Macaca mulatta: one gene and its partners. The protein of the gene in region 2 purifies or fractionates together with the protein of the main gene of each other region. This does not show direct contact. Links are inferred from orthologs where the notes say so. Each region holds a gene or a part of one and is shown on either strand. Other genes may lie near its edges.

The links.
Region 1: the proteins of THOC1 (region 2) and SF3B1 purify together in Homo sapiens (co-immunoprecipitation; 4 studies listed by BioGRID and IntAct, with this or other methods). This does not show direct contact. The link is inferred for Macaca mulatta from reciprocal best matches to the Homo sapiens genes THOC1 and SF3B1.
Region 3: the proteins of THOC1 (region 2) and DDX39A purify together in Homo sapiens (affinity purification with mass spectrometry; 3 studies listed by BioGRID and IntAct, with this or other methods). This does not show direct contact. The link is inferred for Macaca mulatta from reciprocal best matches to the Homo sapiens genes THOC1 and DDX39A.
Region 4: the proteins of THOC1 (region 2) and NCBP3 purify together in Homo sapiens (co-immunoprecipitation; 4 studies listed by BioGRID and IntAct, with this or other methods). This does not show direct contact. The link is inferred for Macaca mulatta from reciprocal best matches to the Homo sapiens genes THOC1 and NCBP3.

Annotation. Positions count from the first base shown.
Region 1 is NC_133417.1:102,376,374-102,380,995, forward strand, and holds the start of SF3B1 (splicing factor 3B subunit 1), read right to left. Parts: upstream 2,890-4,622; 5' UTR 2,841-2,889; coding exon 2,813-2,840; intron 1-2,812. UniProt on the Homo sapiens protein: Component of the 17S U2 SnRNP complex of the spliceosome, a large ribonucleoprotein complex that removes introns from transcribed pre-mRNAs.
Region 2 is NC_133423.1:71,588,733-71,592,776, reverse strand, and holds part of THOC1 (THO complex subunit 1), read left to right. Parts: intron 1-1,616; coding exon 1,617-1,735; intron 1,736-2,184; coding exon 2,185-2,233; intron 2,234-2,643; coding exon 2,644-2,739; intron 2,740-4,044. UniProt on the Homo sapiens protein: Component of the THO subcomplex of the TREX complex which is thought to couple mRNA transcription, processing and nuclear export, and which specifically associates with spliced mRNA and not with unspliced pre-mRNA.
Region 3 is NC_133424.1:15,011,134-15,013,703, reverse strand, and holds the end of DDX39A (ATP-dependent RNA helicase DDX39A), read left to right. Parts: intron 1-623; coding exon 624-742; intron 743-1,084; coding exon 1,085-1,216; intron 1,217-1,311; coding exon 1,312-1,421; intron 1,422-1,510; coding exon 1,511-1,655; intron 1,656-1,773; coding exon 1,774-1,921; intron 1,922-2,004; coding exon 2,005-2,021; 3' UTR 2,022-2,033; downstream 2,034-2,570. UniProt on the Homo sapiens protein: Helicase that plays an essential role in mRNA export and is involved in multiple steps in RNA metabolism including alternative splicing. Regulates nuclear mRNA export to the cytoplasm through association with ECD.
Region 4 is NC_133421.1:5,326,870-5,331,409, reverse strand, and holds the start of NCBP3 (nuclear cap-binding protein subunit 3), read left to right. Parts: upstream 1-1,483; 5' UTR 1,484-1,491; coding exon 1,492-1,674; intron 1,675-2,156; exon of another isoform or gene 2,157-3,042; intron 3,043-3,958; exon of another isoform or gene 3,959-4,516; intron 4,517-4,540. UniProt on the Homo sapiens protein: Associates with NCBP1/CBP80 to form an alternative cap-binding complex (CBC) which plays a key role in mRNA export. NCBP3 serves as adapter protein linking the capped RNAs (m7GpppG-capped RNA) to NCBP1/CBP80.

The DNA of each region.
Region 1 (4,622 bases), on a different chromosome or scaffold from region 2:
CAATAACAAAACTATAACTATTCCAGCCACTCATCAAGCAAAGAATTAGGGAAAAAACTTTTTCAGCTTGGTGATGTACCAAAAAATCTAATTCAAAGGATTAGTGGCAAAACAAGCTGATACACAGGATTTTTGATTAACCCATTTTTCCCCTTACAAAACAGAGAAGAATATGTGTTCCCTATTTGTTTGCCAAAGTCAGCAGTATCTGAAGAACTGCTGGATGGCAAGATTATGCATATTCATAACCATACACCTGACACAATTTAATATGCGGAAAGATCTAAAAGATTTTATCTGATTTGAGTAAGTCCAGCTCTTTTTATATTTCAATCCTGGAAAGCATAAGCCACATTGGCCAGGGTAAAATATAATCAGATTGGTTAAAGAGGATGTGAGGCCTGATCCTAATAGAAATGTTTGAAAGGGTTCAGGCATTGTGGCTCATGCCAGCAATCCCAGCACTTTGGGAGGCCGAGGTGGGAGGATCACTTGTGGTCAAGAGTTTGAGACCAGCCTGGCCAACATGGCGAAACCCTGTCTCTAAAACTACAAAAATCAGTCAGGTGTGGTGGCGCATGCCTGTGATCCCAGTACTCTGGAGGCTGAAGCAGGAGAATAGCTTGAACCTAAAAGGTGGAGGTTGCTGTGAGCTGAGATTGCACCACTGCACTTCAGCCTGGGCAACAGAGCAAGACTCTATCTCAAAAAAAATAAATAAATAAAATAAATGTTTGGAAAGAATATGACAGCAAAATAAATAAATAGTTACCAGTTTATCTCAATCTTGGAGCTAAGTAGAAGAGAAAATCTTAACACAATAGACTACTCTAAGTAATATAACATTTATACTGAGTGCTATGGCAGCACTGCCCCTAAAAGCATTAATTCTGCTTCAGTTTATCAAAAATGGCTTAACAAGAGAAAACAGTGATGGACCATGAATAATTAGAGTTCCACCAAGAAAATGTCATTAGGAAGGAAGCAAGAAGCTATGTCAGTATTATGTGTATTTCTACTAAACATTTATTATCCCCTGACTTATAACCCATAGGGATGGGCACAGACAGTGTTCAAGTATTGAATGTTCTGCTATTTTCTTATGGCATCACTTAATTCACATTGATAGAATAATCTCAAAAATAACAAGTTTGGACAATGAATAGCAATAGACCAAAGCTTTTAGCTGGGTTTCTAAAAAATTCAGGAAAACTGATCAAAACTTTGATTTTCCTGTTTGAGAGCATCTTATGCTACCAATAAATATCAAAGCTATACTATCAATATCCCCAAATGAATAACCTCCTGAATGAACAAAAACAGCACATCTTTATATTTTCTACTTATTTTGCAAAAGGTTATATTTGAGATAGTCTAAAGAAAAATAATAAGGCCTAAGAACACTAAGAGAGCATTTAAATCCTAAATACCTAAAATAATACTGGTATTAAAGCCATTGCCAATTCATTAGCATGTCTGATAAACAGCAGAAAGCTGGACTTCAGGTCCTCCGGGTGACCCAAAAATTCAAAGCCATTCATATTCTGGTCCTAAACCAACCTTTACAGATTCATTTATTTCTTCTCTCCTTGCACCCACTGTTCCTGCCACAGTGGACTACTACTCAAACACACCTTTCACGATTCAATACCTTGTTACAAGATGTTCTCATGCTCAGATGTCCTTCCCGATTTAAAACTGATCCTTTTAAAACAGGGACATGTAACCTCTTCAGTGAAATAACCCTAAGCATAATAATTCCGTTATCCAGGTTCCCAGAACATGTTGTTTGTTCTTCTACTTAAGCATGCATTTGGCCTCATGAGAGAATGAGGACATACACATCTGTTTCCCCTACCTGACTGTAAAATTTTGGATGGCCTCAGTCTGTTACCTTTCACAGACTAATGCTGAGCCAAATACCCAGAAAGAACATATGAAACAAAAGTGAATTAGAAGTCTCGTTCTCAGTGAAAATCTCGGATTCCAAGTCAGAAATCAAAGAATGCAGTTCCAACTTCCCATGCCTCGTCTTTTCTGAAAAGTGATCCCGTTTCCTGTCATCTCTGGATATTTCCTAATGAACTCCAGTCTATTCCCAACGTTTTCCTAATTTGCACACTCTGCATTCCATAAAACGATCAACTAGTTTGAAAGCTTCGGCCGTTAATGAAAGTAATTTATCTTTTCCTTTTCCATCTGGCTCTTCCAATAACCAGTCTCCAAAGAAAAAGATCAATATTATACTAAAAGTGACTAAGGGAGGGAAAACTACTACCAGATTTTATCCCCAAATCGTTTCGTGCAAGAAAAATAAGCAAGTAACACTGACGCTTGAACACACACGGGGGCAGGAGTAATGGAATCTCGGTTTAACTAAATTCGATTCAGTCCTGCCGGAAAAGCGGATGCCGTATTTCAGTGCTTTTCTGACCCTCTTCTGCATAAACTATGCGGACGACACTGTCGACAGGCGAGTGAGACTTTCTCCCCACGCCCGCTTCCCAGATCCCTTGCCCACGAATCCTACTGAGGAAGCCGCTTAAACAAGGCCCTCTGGTCAGAGAAGAGAAGCTACTCTGAAGTAGCAGGTCCCAAACACCGAACAAAGCGCCTGTCGGGGGTGTAAGAGGAGGACGCCATTACGCGGGGCAGTGGCCTGCGCCGCTGGCGCGGAGGAGACGACCCTTGGCCCCGAAACGCGGGCTCGGCTCCCATGAAAGAAACCATAGGAAAAGGCAGAATCCTAGGAAGAAAGGCTCTTAGTAAGCTAGCAACCAAGAAAACACGTAAGCAGGGAAAGACCGCTTACCTTCGTGAGTCTTGGCGATCTTCGCCATTTTGTCCACTCGAACACACTGACGGAACTGGCGCTCCCAAGAACTTCCGCTCGTCGCCGCCGCCACGGAGAAAAAAATAGCTGGGGGCTGCACTCTGCGCGTGCGCCAAACAGAAGCGCGCTCCGTCGGGTGACACGTGACACAGCTGCCACCTAGAGGGAACCGCGAGGTGCATTGTGGGTGGGGGAGGAGTCACGGTTGGGACCTGAAGCCGCCTGCGTGGTGACCCAGGAAATCCTCGGGCTAAGCCGTAAGGTCCTTAAGTGAGTAACTTTGCCCTGGAGGAAAGTGGGTTCTACGAGGGGAGTTAAGAACAGACACTGAGTCCCAGCTACTCTAGAGGCTGAGGTGGGAGCATCGCTTGAGCCCAGGAGTTCAAGGCTGCCGTGAGCCGTAATCGTGTCACGCCACTATACTCCAACCTCCAGCCCGGGCGAAAGAGCAAGACCCCGAGACCCCTCCCATAAAAAAAATGAACACTGTACGAAACACTGCGGTTTCAGAGCTGGAAGAGACCTCAGACGTTCAATCCCTTTCCCACAATTCACCAGAAGAACTCGAGGAAAACTTCACCTTGCAGCTGTCTCAGTCTTTACAGTGCTTAGTTACAAAGACAGTCTTAACAGTCTCATCTCTCGCCCTGTAATTCAAGGTCATTTTTCATTATTTCTGTTTAATAATTGCAAATAATTTGGGTAAGAATTTCGTTGAGCCTCACAAATCGTTATTGAGTTGCACAGTGAGAATCTTACCACCCTTTTAAAGCCTTTTAACTTTATGGGTTCTTAGAAAACCACTCATCGTCATTATTAACATTCATTAAATGTTTCTCTTAAATCGTAGACGGTATTCCTAAATCAGGAATTTTAATAGATCAGAATGCATTCTGTTTTCCTAGACATCAATTAAAATATCATAACCTTGTACCGTCACACTGATCTTGGACTTCGACAATGAAAAAGAAAGGCTCAGAAAGATGGGTCCCGGAAGCAGCCCAGGAAAACAGGTAGTTATCAAGGTTAGAGCCATCACAAAGAAAGGAGTACCTCGCCATGTGATAAACCTACAACCCAAATACTAACCATACCATGGGTCATTATGGTCGTTTGAAGGGAGGAAAATGGTATGGGTGTATTCCTCTTGCAGAAAGACCCCATGTCTACTTTGGGTACAGTGAGGAGCCATTTTCCTGAGGCTAGGGGTAGGTGGGAGATATATGGACAATGGCGCTGGACTGAGAGCTTAAGATAACCTGTCCCTGGTGACTCCTGACCTGCAGCCTTGCTCCCTCTTTCCCTCTCACAGACTCCCTTCTTTGGATCAGGTGACACAAAGGATTTTTTTTCTGTTTTTTTGACACAGAGTCTTGGTTTGTTGCCCAAGCTGGAGGGCAGTGGTTTGATCACAGCTCAACTTAACTTCGACCTTAAGGTTCAAGAGACTCTCCTGCCTCAGTCTCAAGAGTAGCTAGCACCACAAACATGGGCCACCATACCCAGCTAATATTTTGTTTTTTGTAGAATGAGATCTTACTATATTGCCCAGGCTGGTCCCAAAGTGTTGACCTCAAGCAGTCCTCCTGCCTCAGTCTCCCAAAGTGCTGGGATCACAGGGGTGAGCCACCACTGATTTTTATTAGCATCAGTAAAAGAATAAATTTGATAAAATAAAATTTTTGGCCAGGCGTGGTGGCTCACACCTGTAATCCCAGCACTTTGGGAGGCCAAGGCGGGTGGACCAGGAGGTCAGGAGTTCAAGACCAGCCTGACCAACACGGTGAAA
Region 2 (4,044 bases):
TTGGGGGAATCACACTGTAACCCAGTGGTTCCCAGACTTGCTGGCTCATCAGAACCACCAGTGAATCTATTTTTAGATGAGATTCCCAAACCTTGCTTAGTTCTACTGACTCAGAATTTTGGTAGTAGAATCTAGAAAAAGTTCTCTAATTATTTAATGTGAGTTAACTTATTCCAGGCTGTACTGCAGCTAAGGGCAGAGAGTATGCTTCTCAAATCTCTTGGATGTGCAGGGTATATAATATTGAATCTAAGTATTGTTCGGGACTTTCGAGGTCACCTAGTCCCGTCTCATCTCTGGCCTAGACCGCTTCCCTGCTGTAACATCCCTGATGGGTGGTCATTCAGCCTCTGCTGAATCATGCTCATTAGTGGAGGTCACTGTTTGAGTCCTGTTAGACAAGTGTGGTTATTGGTGTGTTCCCTTGTATTGAGTTGAAATCTGCTGTTTTATTCCACCACTGCTTTTCGGCAATATCCCTCACATCACATTCCAGATATGATCTTACTAGTGCAGAGTACAGCTGGAAAGATTTCTTCCTTTTTCTAGATATAGTGTATTAATGCACTGTTTTGGACTTAGATCACCCTAGATATTTTTCCCCATATACCATGCCTAAGTAACTACTTTTCTTAAACACTTATGAGTGTTAGTAAGTACCCATTGCCTTAAAATAGAAGGAAGGATGAGTAGGGATATAAAAGTATTTCTAGGTAGTCTGAATAGACTAAATAGACCTTTTCTTAAGAATATCTTAATTTTGTTGTTCTTTAAACAGTAACTTTCTACTTTTCCATTCTTTCCCCTGAAACAATACTGTTATTTTAAATGTTAAATCATAGTTAATATCAAACCTTGTTATTTTTTGAAGATAATCTTTTCAAATCACAAAGACAATTTAGCAACACTACAAAACATTTGGAAATGAGAAAAAGGGAAAACAGTACTCATAATTCCTCTACTTTTAAAAACCATTCATCTGGTATAATGGTTTTAGTTTCTATAGTCTTTTAAGAATTTTTTTATTGTCATAATCATATGTACATACAATTTTGAATCCTGCCTTTTTCACTTAGCATTATATCCTAAGCATTTTTCCAAGTTATTATAGTCGTTATAACCATCGTTTTTAATTGGCTGCATTATATTCTTTTGAATAGCTTAGTGGTGAAGAAAACAGACTGTGGAGCCAGACTGCCTGGGTTCGTATCCCAGCTCTGCCACTTACTGGCTCTGTGATCTTGGGCAAGTTATTTAACCTCTCTGTGTCTCAATTTTCCCATTCTATAAAATGCAAATAATGATATGCTCTACTTCATAGGGTTATAAGGATTAAATGTGTTAGTATATGTAAAGTACTTAGTGTGCCTGACATATAGTAAATGCTCTAGATCTTGTCAAGAATTATTGTCATCATTACTGAGTGCACATATCAAAAATTACTTAAATATGTCCTGTTTGGGGACTTGTAGGCTGCTTCCACTTCTTGTCCTTTTAAAACTTTGTTATGAGTAACAAAGTGTACCTTTTAAGATATTCTTCAGTATTATTTTTCATAGGCTGTTTTACTCTAATGTTTTTTTAAACTTTTAAACTGGCTTGTGCTCCACTTGAAGGTATTTGTACCGCATCTACACCTTTTGTATTGTTGGGAGATGTTTTGGATTGTCTTCCTTTGGATCAGTGTGACACAATATTCACTTTTGTGGAAAAAAATGTTGCTACTTGGAAATCAGTAAGTGCCTTAGTTTCTTTTCCTGCTAACTTTGTATTTCTGTAGATTCAGAGTTCTGAGGGTAGATTTAAAAAAAGAAATTATTTGTAGTATTGCTGATCGCCAACAAGTTTGTGCCTATGAAAAAATTATATACTGCTCTCTTGGGAGAGCCAAGTAAAAACCATGTGTGGAGAAAAACTTGAAATACAAAATTTGATTTAATTTGAGTAATAAAAACTAACTTGAAAATTCACACTTTCACATGTTAAAAACAGTATCATGTTTTCTTATCTTATATCTGAAAATATTTTCATTTCATTGAAAATGTTATTTACTTTAAAAAAGTGTAAGTGGCATAGTAGATTCTCAGTGCATGTTAGTGTTCTTTAATATTTTACTTCCTGCAACTTATTGAAGAATGTGTAACAAGTTCAGAAGAAGAGTGATAATTTCCATCTTAATTTCAGAATACATTCTATTCTGCTGGGAAAAATTACTTACTACGTATGTGCAATGGTAAGTAATTGAGTGATTAAATGATAGCTTTTTAAAATGTAAATATGCCCAGAAAAACATGTGGTTGAATTAAATACCAGTGATAACATTTTAAAAATAGATTAGGTATTTGTATTTTTAACTAACAATCGGATTTATTAGAACTCATTCACTTTAAGCTGTTTTTGTTCTGGGCATAAACTTAATGAAAGTCAGAAACATGTAGTAAAGTTTGTCTTTTTCATGTCATGTTGAACTTGTTTTGTTCCTAATTTCTAGTACTTTTTTGTGGCAGTGGTTTCTGCCCCCATTTTAAGAACTACTGCTTTAGGAAAATACTCTCGACAAACTGGTTTAGAAACTTTTAGGTATGGTTGTAATAAACATAGAATTATCTTTTCTGTGTAACGTTCATTTTCATATATCATTAGATCTCCTAAGAAGATTGTCTAAATCCCAGAATACAGTCTTCTGTGGACGGATTCAGCTCTTTTTGGCCAGGCTTTTCCCACTGTCTGAGAAATCAGGTAAGCTTTTATGCGTTAAATGAGTTTTCTGCAGGAAAATCTTTTCCAGTTTTTAATAGATTAAAATCTGTCATGATAATGAGAAAAATGGTTCTAAAAAGTTGAAAGACATCATAGAAATTGTCACTTTATTTTCTTTTACTTATAAATAGTTATAGCAGTCCTAGTATATAATACAGGTAATCTTGAAACAAAGTCATGGATTCTTTTAAGTTCAAAGCTTATTAACGTACAGTTGAATCATACTGAAACATGTAGATATAAACCGTCACATCTATATTTCGTAATGTATGCCTATTTTTGTGTTTCCATTTTCTCTCTCAGTCACGACTACTTAGCTATATAGACTTCCTTTCATTTCTCTTTTTTAACAGATTTTTATTGTGAAATATAATGCTTATATAGAAAAGTACATAAAGCAAATAATAATGAAACAAATACTGTATAACCACTCTGTAGCTCCTGAAATGGGACATTGCTTATTCTCCAGAGCCTTCCCCCTCCCCAGTCGGTTCAGATATGCGAGATTTTAATATCTCATTGCTTCAGTTCTCTTTTTCTTAATGCTGGGCTAATATACCACCTATTTTATATGTTGTGAGGATTAAATGAATTAAAACACGTGAAGAGCTTACAGTAGTGCCTGAGTATGGTTAGTATACACATATGTCTTTCCTAGCTCTGGTCTCTGAGAGGGCCGCAGAAGTAGTGATACTCCAGTAGCAATGAGCACATCTTCTCAAATGTAGATCATGAGGTCAGGAGATCGAGACCATCCTGGCTAACCCGGTGAAACCCCGTCTCTACTAAAAAATACAAAAAACTAGCCAGGCGAGGTGGCGGGCGCCTGTAGTCCCAGCTACTTGGGAGGCTGAGGCAGGAGAATGGCGTAAACCCGGGAGGCGGAGCTTGCAGTGAGCTGAGATCCGGCCACTGCACTCCAGCCTGGGCGACAGAGCGAGACTCCGTCTCAGGAAAGAAAGAAAAAAAAATCACTATGGTAGCTATAGCCTCATGAAATGTATTTCTTAGATAACAGGACTTGAAAGTTGAAATAACCCTTTGATTCATTGGCTACAAAATGGATGATGTATTAGCAGGCATGAAAACAACATTAATTTCCTTGTGCATCTCCATCAAAGCTCTTGGGTGACCAGGTGCATTGTGAATAAGCAATAACATTGTGAAAGGAGATCTTTTTTTTTCTGAGCAGTAAGTCTCAACAGTGGCCTTAAAATGTTCAGTAAACCATGCTATAAACAGATGTGCTGTCATCAGGGTTTGTCTTTATGGATGGAGCCCAAG
Region 3 (2,570 bases), on a different chromosome or scaffold from region 2:
GAGTCAGTGACTAGGTGGGCCCCATAGCAGGCGGAAGACTCTTGAGTGGGTCACATGGGTGGCTGGCAGGCGGGGCTCCTGTGGTGATCTTAGGGAAAGCTCTGCTGCTGGCAGAGGGACGTGCTGTTTCTGAGCCCGAGCCGAATGGGACCACGGGACCCAAATAAGCCCCCGTCCCTCCTGGACGTAAAGGCACGCGCACATACCTCTAGGAGTGTGAGACTTCTGCCACCTGTTGGGTTGGTTCTAGGCCCCACCTGCCCTCAGGGAGCCTCGACAGGGCCGGTGGGAGATGGGCTTGTGTCCTGGGAGGCAGCTGCAGCTCTCACCCCAGCGGCTGTCTCTGCCTCAGGCTCCCCTCCCTGAAGCGTGTCTCGAGGCGCACGGGCACGGCTGCTCCGCGCCAGCGCGTAAGTGGATTGCAGCTCCTCCCGCGCCTGCGCTCGCTGGCCACCCCCCAGCCCCTCAGGCACCAGGACTGGCCACTCCCGCGGCTCACTCTGCCCTCGTCACGGTGCCACTGGCTCCCTGGCACAGGTTGGGAGGGGTCTGGGTCTGGTCTGGGGTGGGGGTCCTGCATGGCAGACGCTCATGCCCACGCATGTCTTGCCCTCCCCACCCAGACATGCGGCGGGATGTGCAGGAGATCTTCCGCCTGACACCACACGAGAAGCAGTGCATGATGTTCAGCGCCACCCTGAGCAAGGACATCCGGCCTGTGTGCAGGAAGTTCATGCAGGATGTGAGTAAGGCGAGAGTGGCAGCTTCGGCCTTCCCCAGGGGCCTGGAGCCTGGGGCCCCAGGACACCCGCACAGCCCACATGCCTCGGAGGATGCTGGGATGCTGGGAGCCGGCGGAGCCTCCTTTCCTCCCCTCGGTCTTGTCAAACTGGGAGTCAAGCTTGGTCCACACCTGAGCCGGGCCAGAGCTTACATCCAGGTTTTGAGCGATGTTTACTGAGGTCTGGTGCAGGAGGCCCTCTGGGAAGCGTCGCACAAAGGAGTCGCCCACTGGAAGGTTCTGGGCAGGCGAGATGCCCAGAGGTGATCCCTGCCCGCCCCTCCCACCTCCCTTCCCACACAGCCCATGGAGGTGTTTGTGGACGACGAGACCAAGCTCACGCTGCACGGCCTGCAGCAGTACTACGTCAAACTCAAAGACAGTGAGAAGAACCGCAAGCTCTTTGATCTCCTGGACGTGCTGGAGTTTAACCAGGTGACACTTCCATCAGCCCGTCCTGGGGCTCTGGACCATCGGGAGGTCGCTGGGCCGCCGGACTGTGTGTCCCTGACCGCCACTCCTTCCTTCAGGTGATAATCTTCGTCAAGTCAGTGCAGCGCTGCATGGCCCTGGCCCAGCTCCTCGTGGAGCAGAACTTCCCGGCCATCGCCATCCACCGGGGCATGGCCCAGGAGGAGCGGTGAGTGCGAGCCACCCGCCAAGGCTGCAGGGAGCGCCACCCAGGAGCCCAGTGTCTGACGGCCTCCACTTGTTTCTCCTGCACCCCAGCCTGTCACGCTATCAGCAGTTCAAGGATTTCCAGCGGCGGATCCTGGTGGCCACCAATCTGTTTGGCCGGGGGATGGACATCGAGCGAGTCAACATCGTCTTTAACTATGACATGCCTGAGGACTCGGACACTTACTTGCACCGGGTGAGCGGCCTCACGGGCATGTCGCTTTCCCCTGGCGGTGGGGTGGGGCCCCAACCCTGCTTTTCCTCAAGTCCTGAGGTGTTATCTGTGGCCTGACCCTGATCCTGTCTGCCTGCAGGTGGCCCGGGCGGGTCGCTTTGGCACCAAAGGCCTAGCCATCACTTTTGTGTCTGACGAGAATGATGCCAAAATCCTCAATGACGTCCAGGACCGGTTTGAAGTTAATGTGGCAGAACTTCCAGAGGAAATTGACATATCCACATACAGTAAGTGCCTTGGGCAGGGCAGGGGGCTGAGGCAGAGGGTTCCTACCCCGGCCCTTTGGTTCACCGCTTCCTGTGTCTTACAGTTGAGCAGAGCCGGTAACCACCACGTGCCCCACCAGTCCAGAGCCGCCCACCCGGAGCTGCCCACCTGGAGCCGCCCGCATGCAGCTTCACCTCCCCTTTCCAGGTGCCACTGTTGAGAAGCTAGAAATTGTGTGAGAATAAACTTGTTATTACGGAAACCTGGCTCCCACACCATCTGTTTCTTAGTCATCTCGGCCTTTGACGGACACCCTGGGCCTGGCGTCTGAATCACCACCAGCAGGCAAGGCCATCTTCTGTATGCATGTGTTTAATTTTAAGTGTCAACATTGAAAAGTTTGAACAGATAAAAACACATTACACAACATCCACAACCTTTACAACAGTGAGAACCTCCTGCCTGGGCAGGCAGGGCAGGCCTCTGTACCGTGAGCCTCAGGCAGTGGCCCCAAGGGGCTCTGCCAGGGGGCCTCTGACATCAGTCTTCGCTTAAGAAGGAAGCTGAGCCGCAGCACCTAGTCTTTTCAGTTCTGCAGCAGACGTGAGAGGAAAAGTCCAGGCCGGGACGAGCCCTCAGTCTGTCCTGAGTACTAGCCCCAGGTGCCAA
Region 4 (4,540 bases), on a different chromosome or scaffold from region 2:
ACTATGATGTAGCCCAAAATTAAGAAAAACCATCCCTTCTGTTAGACCCTGTATCTACATATAAATTATCACATTTAATCCTCACAACCTCCTTTGGAGGTAGGTAATGGTCCATTTTACTGATGAAGGAACTGAGACTCCAAAGTGCTAAGCAGCTTGCCTAAGGTCACACATGGTGGATGGGGCAGGGCCAGCCAGCTCGAAACCCAGGTGTGTCCGATGCGGACCATGGTCTTCCTTAGTTTATCATTATTTGCTCCTCCATGGTTAGCGCTGGCAGGGCCTCAGAGACTGCAGGGTCTCACCTACGCCCTCCTCAGATGCGAAAACAGACCCAAAAACCTGTCCAAAGCTACCCAGGGAGGAAGACGCAAAATCAGGACTCAGGCCAGGCGCAGCGGCTCACGCCTGTAATCCCAGGACTTTGGGAGGCCGAGGTGGGTGGATGGCTTAAGGTTAGGAGTTCGAGATCAGCTTAGCTAACATGGTGAAAGTCTGTCTCTGCAAAAAATAAGAAAGAAAGAGAAAGAAAGAAAGAAGGAAAGAAAGAAAGAAAAGAAAGAAAGAAAGAAAAGAAAGTAAGAAAGAAAAGAGAGGAAGGAAGAAAAAGAGAAATGAAGAAAAGAAAGAGAAGAAAGGAAGGAAGGAAGAAAAAAGAAAGGAAGAAAGGAAGAAAGAAAGAAAGAAAGAGAGAAAGAAAATCAGGACTCAGAACCTAACAGCTGATCAGTGACACCCTCGGGATGCCTAGACAACCCCCCTCCCCCACTAGGCTAGAAGTATCCGCAGGAAACTACACTCACAGGTCTACAGTGGATGGCACCCTCAGGAGTCAGGAAATCAGTGTCCAAGTTCTGGCCTTTGGGCAGGTCTCAAATTTTGTGTATGTAACATGGGCCAATTTTGGGGAGACTTTTAAGAGACAAAGGCAGGCAAGGCAAGTAACGTTATAAACCTACAGATTGCCCAGAGGTGATATATCAAGGCTCATCGTAAACTCTGGAAGACTTAGATCCAGCTTTTATCCCTTAAATGGCGTCACCTCGGATCAATTTCTATACCTCAGTTTCCTCATATATGAAATGGGGGTCATAATGGGATCTACTTCATAGAGTTGTTCTAAGGGTTCGAGCGCTTGGAAGTGTCTGGCCCATGGTGATCGCTCAGTAAAGGTGGCTTTTAGTACAGGTTTAGCCTCAAGGCGTAGCTACATTGTAACCCTTGACTACCCCGGTCTCCTCCAAGCTCCGTCGCTCCCGCAGGCCCCGCCCCCGTCCCCGCTCAGTCCCGCCTTCTCCTCCCCAGGTCCCGCCCGCGCAGCACGCCCGGGTTCCTCCCGCCACCAGGGGGCGGCGGCGCTGAGGGCGGCCTTCTGGCCGAAGCCGGCGACGCTCTAGGTAGCTGCGGCGGCTCCTCTGTGGCCAGTGGCTGCGGCGCTCTAGCCGGCGGCCGTAAGGGGCGGGCTCTCGGTGGTGCGGCCGGCAGGCAGCTATGGCGGCCGTACGGGGCCTGCGGGTGTCGGTGAAGGCGGAGGCCCCGGCGGGGCCAGACCTGGGGCTCCCGTCCCCTGAGGCGGAGTCGGGTGTTGACCGTGGCGAGCCGGAGCCCATGGAGGTGGAGGAGGGCGAGCTGGAAATCGTGCCCGTGCGGCGCTCGCTCAAGGAACTGATCCCGGTACGGGCGGGGGTCGGGGGGCAAGGAGGAGGTCGCGGGGCTAGTGCCCAGCGCCGGAGGGGGCCGGAAGGGGCGGTGGCTGGAGCCCCAGCCGGGGAAGTCTGGGGAGCGGGAGAGAAGGGAGCCAGCGTCCTGGGGACGAGGGCTCCGGGCTGGAGGAGGGACGCGGAGCGGGAGAAAGGACGCCGGTGCGCCGGAAATGGGTGTTGAGGGGGCTGGAGGGGGTGGCGGAGAGCTGGGAGAGAGTTGAGGACCCCCCTCCGCTGCCCCCTCTGAGCCGTGCTGTGCAAAGGGGTGAGTGAGGAGTGTCTGGAGGGCTGAGATAAAGGGGGAGCCCTGGGCGGGAACAGAACCGGGAGCAGCCCAGAAGGAGCTGTTGGGTGGCGCCAGCAACCAGGTCTCTCCTGTGGGTCTTGCCCCGGAGGAATTTGTATCTGTGAAACATGGCACTCGCTCTTTCTCTTGGGAGGGCTGCACTTGTCAGCAGCAGAAACTCACTGTTTCTGTCGTGACTTCAGGGTCATCTTGCGCCACCCGCCCCCCCCCCCCCCCGCCGCAGCTCCACTGGCACCTACACCGTGGCCCCAGCATCTCACTCTTAATGAAAGTAAACTAGCAAACGATCAATAGACGCCCTTGATCCCTCATTTACCGCGCTGGGGATGGTGAGGTGTTTTGCTTGTGACTTGGTGGCTGTAGATCCAGTTCTTAGAGCTGATTTGAGGCCTGGATGACTCCTCTTAATTTCTAACTTAATATGAACTACTTTTCACCACATGTCAACATATTTAGACTGAAGTTATGGAGAAAGGTTAAGGTATGATCGCTAGAGATGGCAAACGTTATTGATTATGATTAACAACAGCTAATATATTAGCATTTACCATTCACTACATTGTGTCACTTAAATATACTGGCCATGCACACCTTTAGTGCCAGCTGTTCAGGAGTCTAAGTTCCAGACCAGCCTCAGTAATATAGCAACACCCCTTCGAGGTCCCTCCTTTCGCCTCTCCCCATCTCAAAAACAAAACAAAACCAAAATAAGTATCACTGCAGTTGTGAAGTAGGTGTTATCATCCTTTCAGTCATTCAGTTCAACATGGTTTTTGTTTTGTTTTGAGACGGAGTTTCGCTCTTGTTACCCAGGCTGGAGCGCAATGGCGCAATCTCAGCTCACCGCAACCTCTGCCTCCCGGGTTCAAGCGATTCTCCTGCCTCAGCCTCCTGAGTAGCTGAGCCCAATGGTGCGATCTCGGTTTACCACAACCTCCACCTCCTGGGTTCAAGTGATTCTCCTGCCTCAGCCTCCCAAGTAGCTGAAATTACGGGGGTGTGCCACCATGTCCGGCTAATCTTGTATTTTTAGTAGAGACAGGATTTCTCCATGTTGGCCGGGCTGGTCTCGAACTCCTGACCTCAGGTGATCCTCCCGCCTCTGCCTCCCAGAGTGCTGGGATTACAGGCATGAGCCACCGTGCCTGGCCAACATGTATTTATTGCATCCCCCACTATGTACCAAGACACAGCCCTAGGTGCTTGATCAAGATCAACCTCCCTGCTGGAGTGTATGCTCCATATAAACTCTCAATGACAAAAAGGAGCCACCCTTGTGAAGACTGAAAAGGGGTTCCCCCAGCCGGGGCAATAGCAAGCACAGAGGGTCTGGGGTGGGTCCAGGATCGTTGCAAAGTTCTGTAGCGCTAATGGAAGGGCAGTAAAAGAGGTCAGGAAGGCAGGTAGATACCACGCAGGAAACTGGGACCCAGAGAGGTCAAGGAAACTATACAGTGTCCTGTAATTAGTGACCGTCAGAGCTGAGGCTTCCGTCCTCGCTTGGTTTCCAAATCCCATCCCCTTTGCATTGCACTGTGCTGTATTTGCCTCAGGAATTCTAGGTGAGGCTGGACTTCTGCATTGAGGTGGAGGGTTGGGCTCCACCTGGTGGCTGGGCATGGGGAATTCGTTCAGACTAGGTTGGGGAGCTAAGTGACTGTGCTTCATCTTTTGACATTTTCCACAAAAGCCTTTAGATTTTTCTGTACGTGGATACTTTCAGTTGATGGAATCACTTCAGGTTTTGGACAGGCTCTGCTCTTCTTATTGGAGTGGTTGATTGATACCATGGAATCACTGGGATGGGGCTTCTTAATAAAAGGTTGTCAGGGGTGGGGAAGGGTTTTGAAAAGAATGACTCTTCAAAAAGAACCAGACTGGCCAGGTGCGGTGGCTCATGCCTGTAATCCCAGCACTTTGGCAGGCTGAGACAGACAGATCACCTGAGGTCAGGAGTTTGAGACCAGCCGGCCAACATGGTGAAACCTCGTCTCTACTAAAAATACAAAAATTAGCTGGCCATGGTGGCGCACACCTGTAATCCCAGCTACTCAGGAGGCTGAGGCAGGAGCATCACTTGAACCCGGGAGGTAGCAGTTGCAGTGAGCCGAGTTTGCACCACTGCCCTCCAGCCTAGGTGATAGAGCAAGACTCCATCTCAAAACACAAACAGATAAACAAAAAGAACCAGACTCTGGGTGGTGGCTCATGCATGTAATCCTAACACTTTGGGAGATTGAGGCAGGAGGACTGCTTTAGCCCAGGAGTTGGAGACCAGCCTGGGCAACATAGGGAGACCCTGTCTCTACAAAAATTAAAAAAAAAATGAGCTGGGTGTGGTGGCATATTCCTGAGGGCCCAGCTACTGGGGAAGCTGAGGTGGGAGGATGGCTTGAGCCTGGGGAGTCGAGGCTGCAGTGAGCTGTGATCATTCTACTGCACTCCAGCCTGGTCAACAGAGCGAGACACTGTCACAAAAAAATAAAAATGAAAAAAAAATAAAAAAGAAGAACCAGCTGTCAGCCCGACT